Schizosaccharomyces pombe: one gene and its partner. The protein of the gene in region 1 interacts with the protein of each later gene in a pairwise test. Each region holds a gene or a part of one and is shown in the gene's direction. Other genes may lie near its edges.

The links.
Region 2: the proteins of SPOM_SPBC14F5.10C (region 1) and mug70 interact in a two-hybrid assay, tested with the Schizosaccharomyces pombe proteins (one large-scale study listed by BioGRID).

The regions. Positions count from the first base shown.
Region 1 is NC_003423.3:4,174,972-4,180,114, reverse strand, and holds SPOM_SPBC14F5.10C (ubiquitin-protein ligase E3), read left to right. Parts: upstream 1-2,056; 5' UTR 2,057-2,402; coding exon 2,403-3,863; 3' UTR 3,864-4,643; downstream 4,644-5,143. Other genes in the region: sorting nexin Snx41, read left to right, coding at 33-1,505; adenylosuccinate lyase Ade8, read left to right, coding at 4,668-5,143.
Region 2 is NC_003424.3:3,044,508-3,049,342, reverse strand, and holds mug70 (protein mug70), read left to right. Parts: upstream 1-1,956; 5' UTR 1,957-2,029; coding exon 2,030-4,222; 3' UTR 4,223-4,279; downstream 4,280-4,835. Other genes in the region: aco1 (aconitate hydratase), read left to right, coding at 1-934; protein Med9, read right to left, coding at 4,627-4,835. UniProt on the Schizosaccharomyces pombe protein: Has a role in meiosis.

The DNA.
Region 1 (5,143 bases):
TATTGAAATGTTTGATTACTAACGGTTTTTAGGACTCAGAAATACACCATCGATATTCAGAATTTGCTTCTTTGCGCGTACAACTTAGCCGCCTGTATCCTACTTGCTTGGTTCCTCCATTACCTGATAAACATAAAATCATGGATTACTTGATAAACGTCACCAAAAACCAACGAATGTCTCGTATGCTCGAAGAAAGAAAGAGATTATTACAATTATTTTTGAGAAGGGTAGCACAACACCCTATTCTGGGCCTTTCAGAAGTTTTTCGAAAATTTCTTAGTCGACATGTATCTTGGAAGGAAGTATTGCATAGTCCTCCTATTAGTTGTCTCCCAAAGGATTTATTGAAAGCCCCACCAGCTGATCCTTCTTCTAAAGAGAATGCTGAGTTATACAAGGAGCTGCCTATTCCCTCTAAAACCCTTGTACCTCGTGACAATTATGACGATGTTGGGAAAAATTTTCTTATGCTTGAAGATACGCTACAGCAGTATTCAATAGTAGCACAAGAGGAATCCAATTTATTTAATCAAATTGTTTTATCAAACTCTAAGTATTGCCTCGCACACTCTACTTTGGGGGCAATGTTTAACGCTCTTTCGTTATCCGAGTCGGGAAAGCTTTTGACAGCACTGGAAAAGGTTGGACAAGCAAATGATCACACATGTCTTGCTAGTATTGACTTTATGCACAACTTTGTAATCGCGGTAATAGAACCGCTTCAGGAGCTTTCAAAAGACGCCAAAAATATGCGTCACATTTTTATCTTTAGAAAGATGAAGTTTATTCAACAGGTAATGGTCGAAGAGCTTCTCACAAGAAAAAAGAGCTTTCTTCATCTTTTGGAGCGCAGGGAGAGACATGCTGCTCGTCTACAACAGGCTATTGGTGAGGTAGATGGGGACGTAATACTCAATAGGGAATCGGAAGCTACTTTGGGTGTAAATAACGCTCAAACTTCTCGTTCAACTATTCCCGAAGAAGATCCCCTATTTAATGATGAAGAATCAAAAGAGCCGTCGGTTCCCTTGATGGGAACCGATCAGCCCTTGGAAAACTATCATGATGGAAATGGAGAGCAAACGGAAGAGTGTTTGCGGGATTTACGGCACAATCAAAGTCAAGATTTTGAAACAGTATCACAAGATACCTCTTTGACGTCAGTTACTGTTTTACCGCGCACGATTCGTGATGTATTTGATAGAATACGTTTTGTATTGAATGGTCTAACTGATAATAATGTGGAAGTATCGCGACACAACAACATCGGTAGGACCGCAGAAAGCGTTACCCATCTTACGGACATGCTCTTGATTACCACTAAGGATGTCGCATTTGTAACTGACAGAGTAAACTTTGAGTTCCAGCGCTACCAAGACACGCATCGTCAGGATTTAAACAGAATTTTAAACCGTTTGACCGATAGTCATATAGATTGGGCCAACCGGAACTTGCGAATCTGGAATTCCGTACAAGAATCATTGAAAACATATGTATCATAATTTATTGGTCCTAGATTTGGTTGGGTTTCTTTTTCAATACAATGTTTGAATATTTGCTTTCATGCTTTTCTTCCTATTCTGCATATTCTACCCCTAGGTGTTTTACTTCATTCAGGCTTGACCTACTAAGGTTAGAGAATTCCGGTACCCTTTTATAAACGTGCCATTGAGATTGCCTTGTCTTTCAGGTTGATTAGCACCTTGCTTGGTTTTTCTTCATGAATCTGTTTTTTTTATGATTATTTGTAATGAAATATATGAACGCCTATCTTCTTAATTGACCATCATCTTAAATTTGTACTGAAAGTAAGAGTCACATGTCGATCAGTATGTAATATATCGGTATACAATTGTTTGCCGTTTCACCATAATAAACTGGTAATTACTTCCTGTACTTTTATCAATTAAAGTTATTAATTTATTTTAATTATTAAAGCTTTTTAATTGCAATATTCGTCTTTTTTACTTTTCCATCATCATGTTAGCAATTCACACGGATGTAACGTTATATTATGTATATATATATATAATGTCACCATATTTATGCTGTCATCCGTTTACAACACAGCATCACTTTGTCTTTCTGTTGTGAATTGCTTTATTAACATAAATTAAAGGAATAAATCCTTTTAAGAATTGTTAATAAGTCTTTATTTTATAGATAGCTACAGCAAGTGTTTGTGCGTGATGAAGATATGTCATCAGTAATTTCATGAATTAATGAGGTTTTCCTTTTTCGACTGAAATAATTGAAGAAGGTTCATATTCTTTCTTAAAAAAAAAAAAACAATATTTTTAAGTTTCTAGTATTCTCTGGAGTCATCCATGGAATTAACGAGTGTAAAATTACTTGACATTAGCAATCGACATCTGAATTAGTTTTACGAGCGATTAAAAATGAGAAAAGAAAGGCCAGGAGTATTATTTAATAAAATAAGGTCTTACTTTATTTGTCCGGGCTGTAATTGTTTGCCTGACTGGCCTGTCACACTTCCTTGTGGAGGAACAGTCTGTCGGAAATGCTTTCGAAACGCATATTCTTCGGAAAGCTCTGGAAAAGTTAGTCCCTCAAGATGTTGCTTTTACAACCATAAGAAACCGCATTATTCTGTAGAGACCGAAGTGAAAGATGTGATCATTTCCAAAGTGGTTGAATTGATTAAAACTACAGAGTTTCAAATTTCTCAGCAGAGTTTGGTACCGCTGGAATTAAAGGAGGAAATTTGTCATGACGATTGTCTTTCTTCGTCACCACCTTGTACTTCTGCATTGACTGAAATTACTCTGCTGCCTCCCACTTTTCATAACTTAATACCTTCCTCATCTTCTTATGAGACTGCAGTAGCTGAATTTTTACATATGGAGGACCTATTACAAGAGAATGTTTCTCGAGAATTGGAATGTCAAATTTGTTTTGGCATGCTTTATGACCCAGTTGTTTCTCCATGTGGACATACATTTTGTGGCCCTTGCCTTATGCAAGCACTAACCCAGTCTCCTCAATGCCCGACTTGTCGTTTTGGGCTCCCATCTCCTGTTGTGTTGGAACATGCGAAAAGCCACTCTATTACCACATTTTTGCGAGATTTTTACCCAGATAATTGGTTAGAACGTCAAAAATCATGGGAAGAAGAAAAGGAACAGGAAAGTTGGCTTCCGTTATTTATTAGCATGCTTGCATATCCCAGAATGCCGACATTCCTTCATATTTTTGAACTGCGATACCACATCATGATCAAAAAATGTCTGGAGACTTCTAAGCGATTTTGTATTGCAATGCCTTTAAGAGCACGAAGTGATGGTCATAATGAGCATCGAGAGCTTCGAAATGCTCGTGGTCAACGTCTTTTTTGTTCTGAGTATGGTACAATTTTAGAAATTATCCAAGTCGAGCCTTTGATCGATGGGAGAAGTCTTGTAGAAGCCCGTGGTTCATATTGTGTTCGTATAATCGATTTTCGAGCTGATGGTTTGTTTCCGAGAGTGAAAATTGAAAAGCACTATGATACTCCTTTGAGAGCCACTCCACTCCAATTTCCTGAGCCTGAATATCTATTAATGTATGGTAATCTAAGTAATGAAGAATTAGTTGAAAGAATAGATGCTTTTTACATGAATGCCCGCCGAACATATGTTCATTGGGTTGTACCTTTAATCGATATAAAAATGGAGGCTAGACAGTCAATTGCTGACTTGTCTTACAAAATCACCAATCTTCTTCCTATCTCAGAGCTTGAGAAAACTCGCATTTTGCAAGTTGACAACCCGACCGATCGACTGGTTTTGGTTCTTATTTGGTTAACTCAACTTCAAGAAAGTTGGTGGTATCGTGTTGGAAGTGCTTGCACCATTGCTTGAGTTTTAATTGTAGTTGAAGTCGCGCGCCCTTTGTATGGGCCATAAAATATAGCCTTTGATTTACTGAAAGGTTATCTCGAAAACGATCAAAATACATCTAATTACCCTATACAAATGAGCACTTAATTCTTGGCATCTGAGAATATCTGGGGTTGATTGTCATGAATATTTCTTTGACCAATTTAAAAACACCCATGCCAATACAGCAAGAATTCTCTTTTTGTTTCACACTTTATTTAATAGTTGATGTTTGCAACTTTTAATATTTATTTTTCTTGATGGTTTTTTGTTTATTACTTTTTCACTGTGAAGATATTTTAATAGTATAATCCAAAATAATTTTGGTTTTCGTTATCTGCTGATGAAGTAGATTTTGGCATTATAGAGAAATTAATTTTCTGCTCTTACTAGTTCACATTTCATATTCACTAGTTTAAGAATACAAGTTTCAATTGACGAAGTGGTCTCTGTCTTTTTCTTACTTAGGCATTGGTTAAAGTAAATTTATAACCCCTTTTGTAATATTGCTAACATATGTGGAAAGGCACCTTTACTCCTCTATACTTGATCTTCAATTGATTTGCTTGGTGGGTTAGGTGAATACTACATATGAAGCATGGAGGCACAATAAATTATCGTTTGATTTTTCATGCGCGTTAACTAATTAATATGGAAATTACAAAATAATAAATCTGATGGTCTTCTCAAGGTGGAGCATTTGTAGAGCACTACTTAGTGTTGGTTCCTCACTGTCCATTCACCACAACAGGTAGAAATTTTTTGGCGAGCTTAAGATTATCGAATATGGAGGATTATGGTTCATATAGTACACCATTGACAGCAAGATATGCTTCTGCTGAAATGTCTCATCTCTTTTCAAGAGAAATGCGTATTAATACTTGGAGACAATTGTGGTTGAATCTCGCCATTGCTGAAAAGCAACTCGGTTTAACTCAAATTACTGATGAAGCTATTGAGCAACTTAAAGCGCATGTCAAAATTACAGCTCCAGAATTTGAAATCGCTGCTAAGGAAGAGAAGCGTCAGAGACACGATGTTATGGCTCACATCTATACATATGGTCTTGCTGCTCCTGCTGCTTCTGGTATTATTCATTTGGGTGCTACTAGCTGTTTTGTAACCGATAATGCTGACTTGATTTTCTTACGCAGCGCCATGGATCTTTTGATCCCTAAGTTAGTCAACGTTATCAATCGTCTTAGCCAGTGGTCTTTGCGATACAAAGACATTCCTACTCTTGGGTTTACACATTATCAACC
Region 2 (4,835 bases), on another chromosome or scaffold:
CAACCGTAACTTCACTGGTCGTAACGATGCTAACCCTGCCACTCATGCTTTTGTAACCTCCCCCGATATTGTTACTGCCATGGTTTTCTCTGGTGACATGAACTTTAACCCTCTTACTGATACTTTGAAAGATAAGGATGGAAACGACTTTAAGTTTGAACCTCCTACCGGTGCTGGTCTTCCTTCCAAGGGTTACGACCCAGGAAGCAACACTTATGTTGCACCTAGCTCGGTCAATGTCAAGGATGTCGCCATTGATCCTCATTCGAAGCGTTTACAACGCCTTACTCCCTTCAAGAAATGGGATGGAAAGGATATGAAGGGTTTGAAAATCCTTATCAAGGCTAAGGGCAAGTGTACTACTGATCATATCTCTGCCGCTGGTCCTTGGTTGAAGTACCGTGGACATCTTCAAAACATTTCTAATAACTATATGATTGGTGCTATTAATGCTGAAAACGGTGAAGCAAATAAGTTGAAGGATCAACTCACCGGTGAATACAAGACTGTCCCCAACGTTGCTATTGATTATCGTGATCATGGAATCCGTTGGGTTACCTTGGGTGAACAAAATTTTGGTGAAGGATCTTCTCGTGAGCATGCTGCTCTCGAACCTCGTTATTTGGGAGGCGCCGCTGTTATCACCAAATCTTTTGCCCGTATCCACGAAACCAATCTTAAAAAGCAAGGTTTGTTGCCTTTGACTTTTGCCGATCCCGCAGCTTATGACAAGATTTCTCCTTTCGACACCGTCGATATCGATGGTCTCACTACCTTTGCTCCCGGTAAGCCTTTAACTTTGGTTGTTCACCCTGCTGATGGATCTGCTGAGTGGTCTACCAAACTTAACCATACCTTTAACAAGGATCAAATTGAATGGTTCAAGGCCGGTAGTGCTTTGAATCACATGGCAAACATGCACAAGCAAAAGTAAAGGACTTATAAGCCTTCCGGTTTGTAACGATGAGAGGTTTTAAGGTTCCTTTTTTGTATGACAGGTCGTGATGATTATGGTAATGTCTATTTGAAAGCGTTGTCGCTGTGTCATTAAAGAACGTCGTTATATGTATTTACTCATAGCTGGTTTGAAAAGCAGGATTTAGGAAATGAACTTTTTTAAAAAGATGAAAGACAATGATCCTAACTAATAAATTAATAAATAAATAAAGTTACGAAATGAGACCGCATGATGATGGAAATTTAGTTCTTTGTTTGATTTTGATACAATGAATTCAAAAGTTGCTCAGCTAAAACTTAGTGTTCCTTAACTAGTAATGAAAAAAATGAGCAGTAAAGTCGTAGTGCTACAATAATTGAGGTGGTACATGATAAATAAAGTCAAGGTGTATTGAATTTTCAATAGTACCATTATGGCATATGTTGTTTGATAGAGCAAACTACAGTCTTGCGGGTTTCAACGGTGTCAAAGGACATCTGTTGAGAAACAAACGATTTACCCTAATGTTTTGCAAAAGTTCAATGTATTGTTGTAACTGTAATTAAAGACTAGGGATTATTTATGAGAAACAGTTTACAATCAACATACAGGTTATATATGGTGATAAAATGAGTTAAAGCAACTTAGACACTATGCCTGAGTGGTTAAAGGGACAGACTAGAAATCTGTTGCGGTCTCCGCGCGCAGGTTCAAATCCTGCTGGTGTCGATTTTTTTCAATCCACCAAAAGAAACACAGAAAGCGAGCTAAATTTATGTGTTGGTATTATTACTTCACGTTGTTTTCTTTTTCACTTGTACCCATTTAACAATGTAACTTAATTATATACACTTAAAAAAGGTGTTGAATCGTACGTATATAATATTTACCTTCATTTTCAACGTCTTCGACATTACTTAGCATTTCGTAAAAAAATAGCGTAATACTAAGTAATACGAATAAACATGCAAAATGGGTTAACGAATGTAAATAAACACAGGGTTTGTTTAGTACTCGTTGACATATAGTTCTTTCTCTTGCTTGCAGCTGTAAACAATAATATCCTTCTTTTAAGCTTCAAACAAGGTGAATATGACGGTTGGTACACTTTCGGTAGTGTCATCAACAGCGTCTGATACCGCTTCACACGTATCAGATACACGGAAACGCCAATATCAAAGGGACGAGGCGCTGAGAAAGAAAATCATATCTGAATTGGGTAAAAAGTCAGGAAATTTTGAGTCTCCAGTTAGAAAGATAAGAAGAAATGGAGAGCCTGGAACGGTAGATAGTGCTGCCTTAGATCCAGCATTGACGGTTCACATGCAAAGTCTGGTTACTGAAACAGCGCAATTGATGGCAGCCAAACGCCAAAATTGCGTACTCGTTGTGGACGACGATGAGCAACTTGCAGGAATTGTAACAGCTACGGATATAGCAACCCGATGTGTCGGTGCAGGTCTGAATGCTAGGCAGACATTGATCGCCGATATAATGAGTACAAGTCCTTTGTGTATTACCAGTGATACACGTTTTGATGACGCTTTGCTATTAATGATTGAACACAAATTTCGACATTTACCTGTAGTCAGCGATGGTGGTCCTGATGGTTCGGCTGGAGACGAAGGCGATGTAATCGGCATAATCAACATGCGGGCTTGTTTACGTGAACCTCTCAATCGCATAGCTAGACAACAGGAAGCCGCACAAAAATTAGTGGAAGCCCTTGAAGGTGCTCAAGAGGAAATAGAAAATAAATCGGTATCTGGTAATACCAATTCTTCCTCAGTCTCTGGTAATCATGCTGCTGAGTTTCTTGAATATGTCGAATCCTTAAAAAAGAAAGCATCAGGGCTTGAAATTATGTCTCTCATTGATTCTTCAGAAGAGCCCTTTCTTGTAGGTACTCGCACTACTGTTGCCGAAGCGACCGAGTCTATGGCTAGGTCTGGCGTTTCTGCTGTTTTGGTAATGGACAATGGAGCCGTATCTGGTGTATTTACCGCTCACGACGTAGTTTTGCGTGTGCTAGCAGCTGGCCTTGACCCATATCGCAGCTCTGTCATACGCGTCATGACTCCCCATCCAGATTGTGCTTTGGCTTCCCTTCGTGTAAGCACGGCTCTTGAGCGCATGATCGAAGGTAAATTTAGTAACCTTCCTGTCGTTGACGAAAGTGATGCCATAATAGGTATGCTTTCCTTATTCCATCTCGCAACTGCAATCGAGCAAACTCCAGAAGAAGAAGAAGAAGTTTTCGATCAAGCAGAAAATGATGCCGGTATTGAACCTTCAAATGGTTTTGAAGATCAACAACAGCAGCTATTAGGAAATTCAAATGAAGTTGTTGAAAATTATGATGTAAATCCCCCCTTGCCTCTAAATCCTCTTCCATCAAATACACAACAAAGCGAAAGCACTTATGAATATTCTGCAAGACAATTGCCCAAGCCACCAGTACAAGCTTGGCAAAACGAAAATCTCTCTTCTAACAACAAGCCCCAAGAATATGTTGGCGTTGAAAATGATTATAATTTCTCCAACAATCCACCTACTGCAATGTCAGAACAATCTTTTCATCCAAGTGTTAGTCAAAAGCCTATGGATACACCTGAAAATGGCTCAAATAGTTTTGCAGCATCACCATATCTACAACCGTATAACAGTGCATCTCAATTAGCTCCTTCATACGTTGGATCCTTACCTCAATACCACGGCAATCCTTCCTTTGTGGAGCAAGCACTACAAGATCTTGTTCAACCCACCGACTCTGCTTCCCAAATTTTCCCGTTAAATCCTCAAAGTCCATCGCAATTTACCATCAAGTACCGTTCCATCGCAGGCCGTGTGCATCGTTTACGCCTTGATGGCATAAATTCGGTAAGCGATCTTCGTACCGCAGTGGAAGAAAGAGAAAAAGAACAACTTGTCACTTTAACTTATATCGATGATGAGGGCGATGTAGTCGAATTAGTTAGTGATTCTGACTTGCGCGAAGCTATTCTTTTAGCGCGCCGGAGAGGATTACCACGTCTAGAAGTGAGAGGTGTGGCTGCTTTTACCAATCATTTGGAAAGCTCACATCCACCAATTTCTACAGTTGATAGCAGCATTGGATCTGCCTCCGTTGTAGAGAAAGGCGTAGCAAACAGCATTGTCGATATTCATCAACCCACTGCAAAAGCTGATAAAGGAAACAGCAAAAAACCCATTTACATTGGCATTGTTTCTAGTTCTATTGTAATTTTAGCAGTGTCTATGTGGTACCTGAGACGCAAAAGATAATCGCATTATAGCTAATACAAAACGAGATACAAGATAAATGTGTGTTTAAAGAAAATGTGTAGATCCATTAGTAATTTTAATTATTGATTTATTTTTAAAAGTATCAATGGTAAATTATATTGTAAGGTTTAAAGAGGACTCTTTATCAAACCTACTGTTTGTAGAAGTGTTAATTGAGAACGCACTACCAAAAGGCGACAAGGATTATTTTTATGCAACTTACAAATTAGTCAATTAAAGGCTGAGTATCAAATTTTAAGAGCGTCGAGATATTTTAAGATATTCAATAGATTGATAGTGAATCACAAACGCTGAGTTCGAATAGCTTTCACTTCATCAACGTAGACGCGATATTTTGGAGTTGAAGAAGTACCTTATAGAGATTAAATTGATGCTCTCGAACATCAGGTTGCGTTCTCCATAAAAGTATCAACAGGACTTTCCCTTACGTCCTCTTTTTTAACTACGGTATCATTGCTTTCAGATAATGCCATCTTTAGAAAAGCCTTTTTCAAAGCAATGCGGGCTTTGAGAATTTCGATGATAGATTTTTTTTCTTTCACTGTCATTTCCTCAGGTTCCATTTTTGAAACCTTTTCTTTTAACTGTCGAA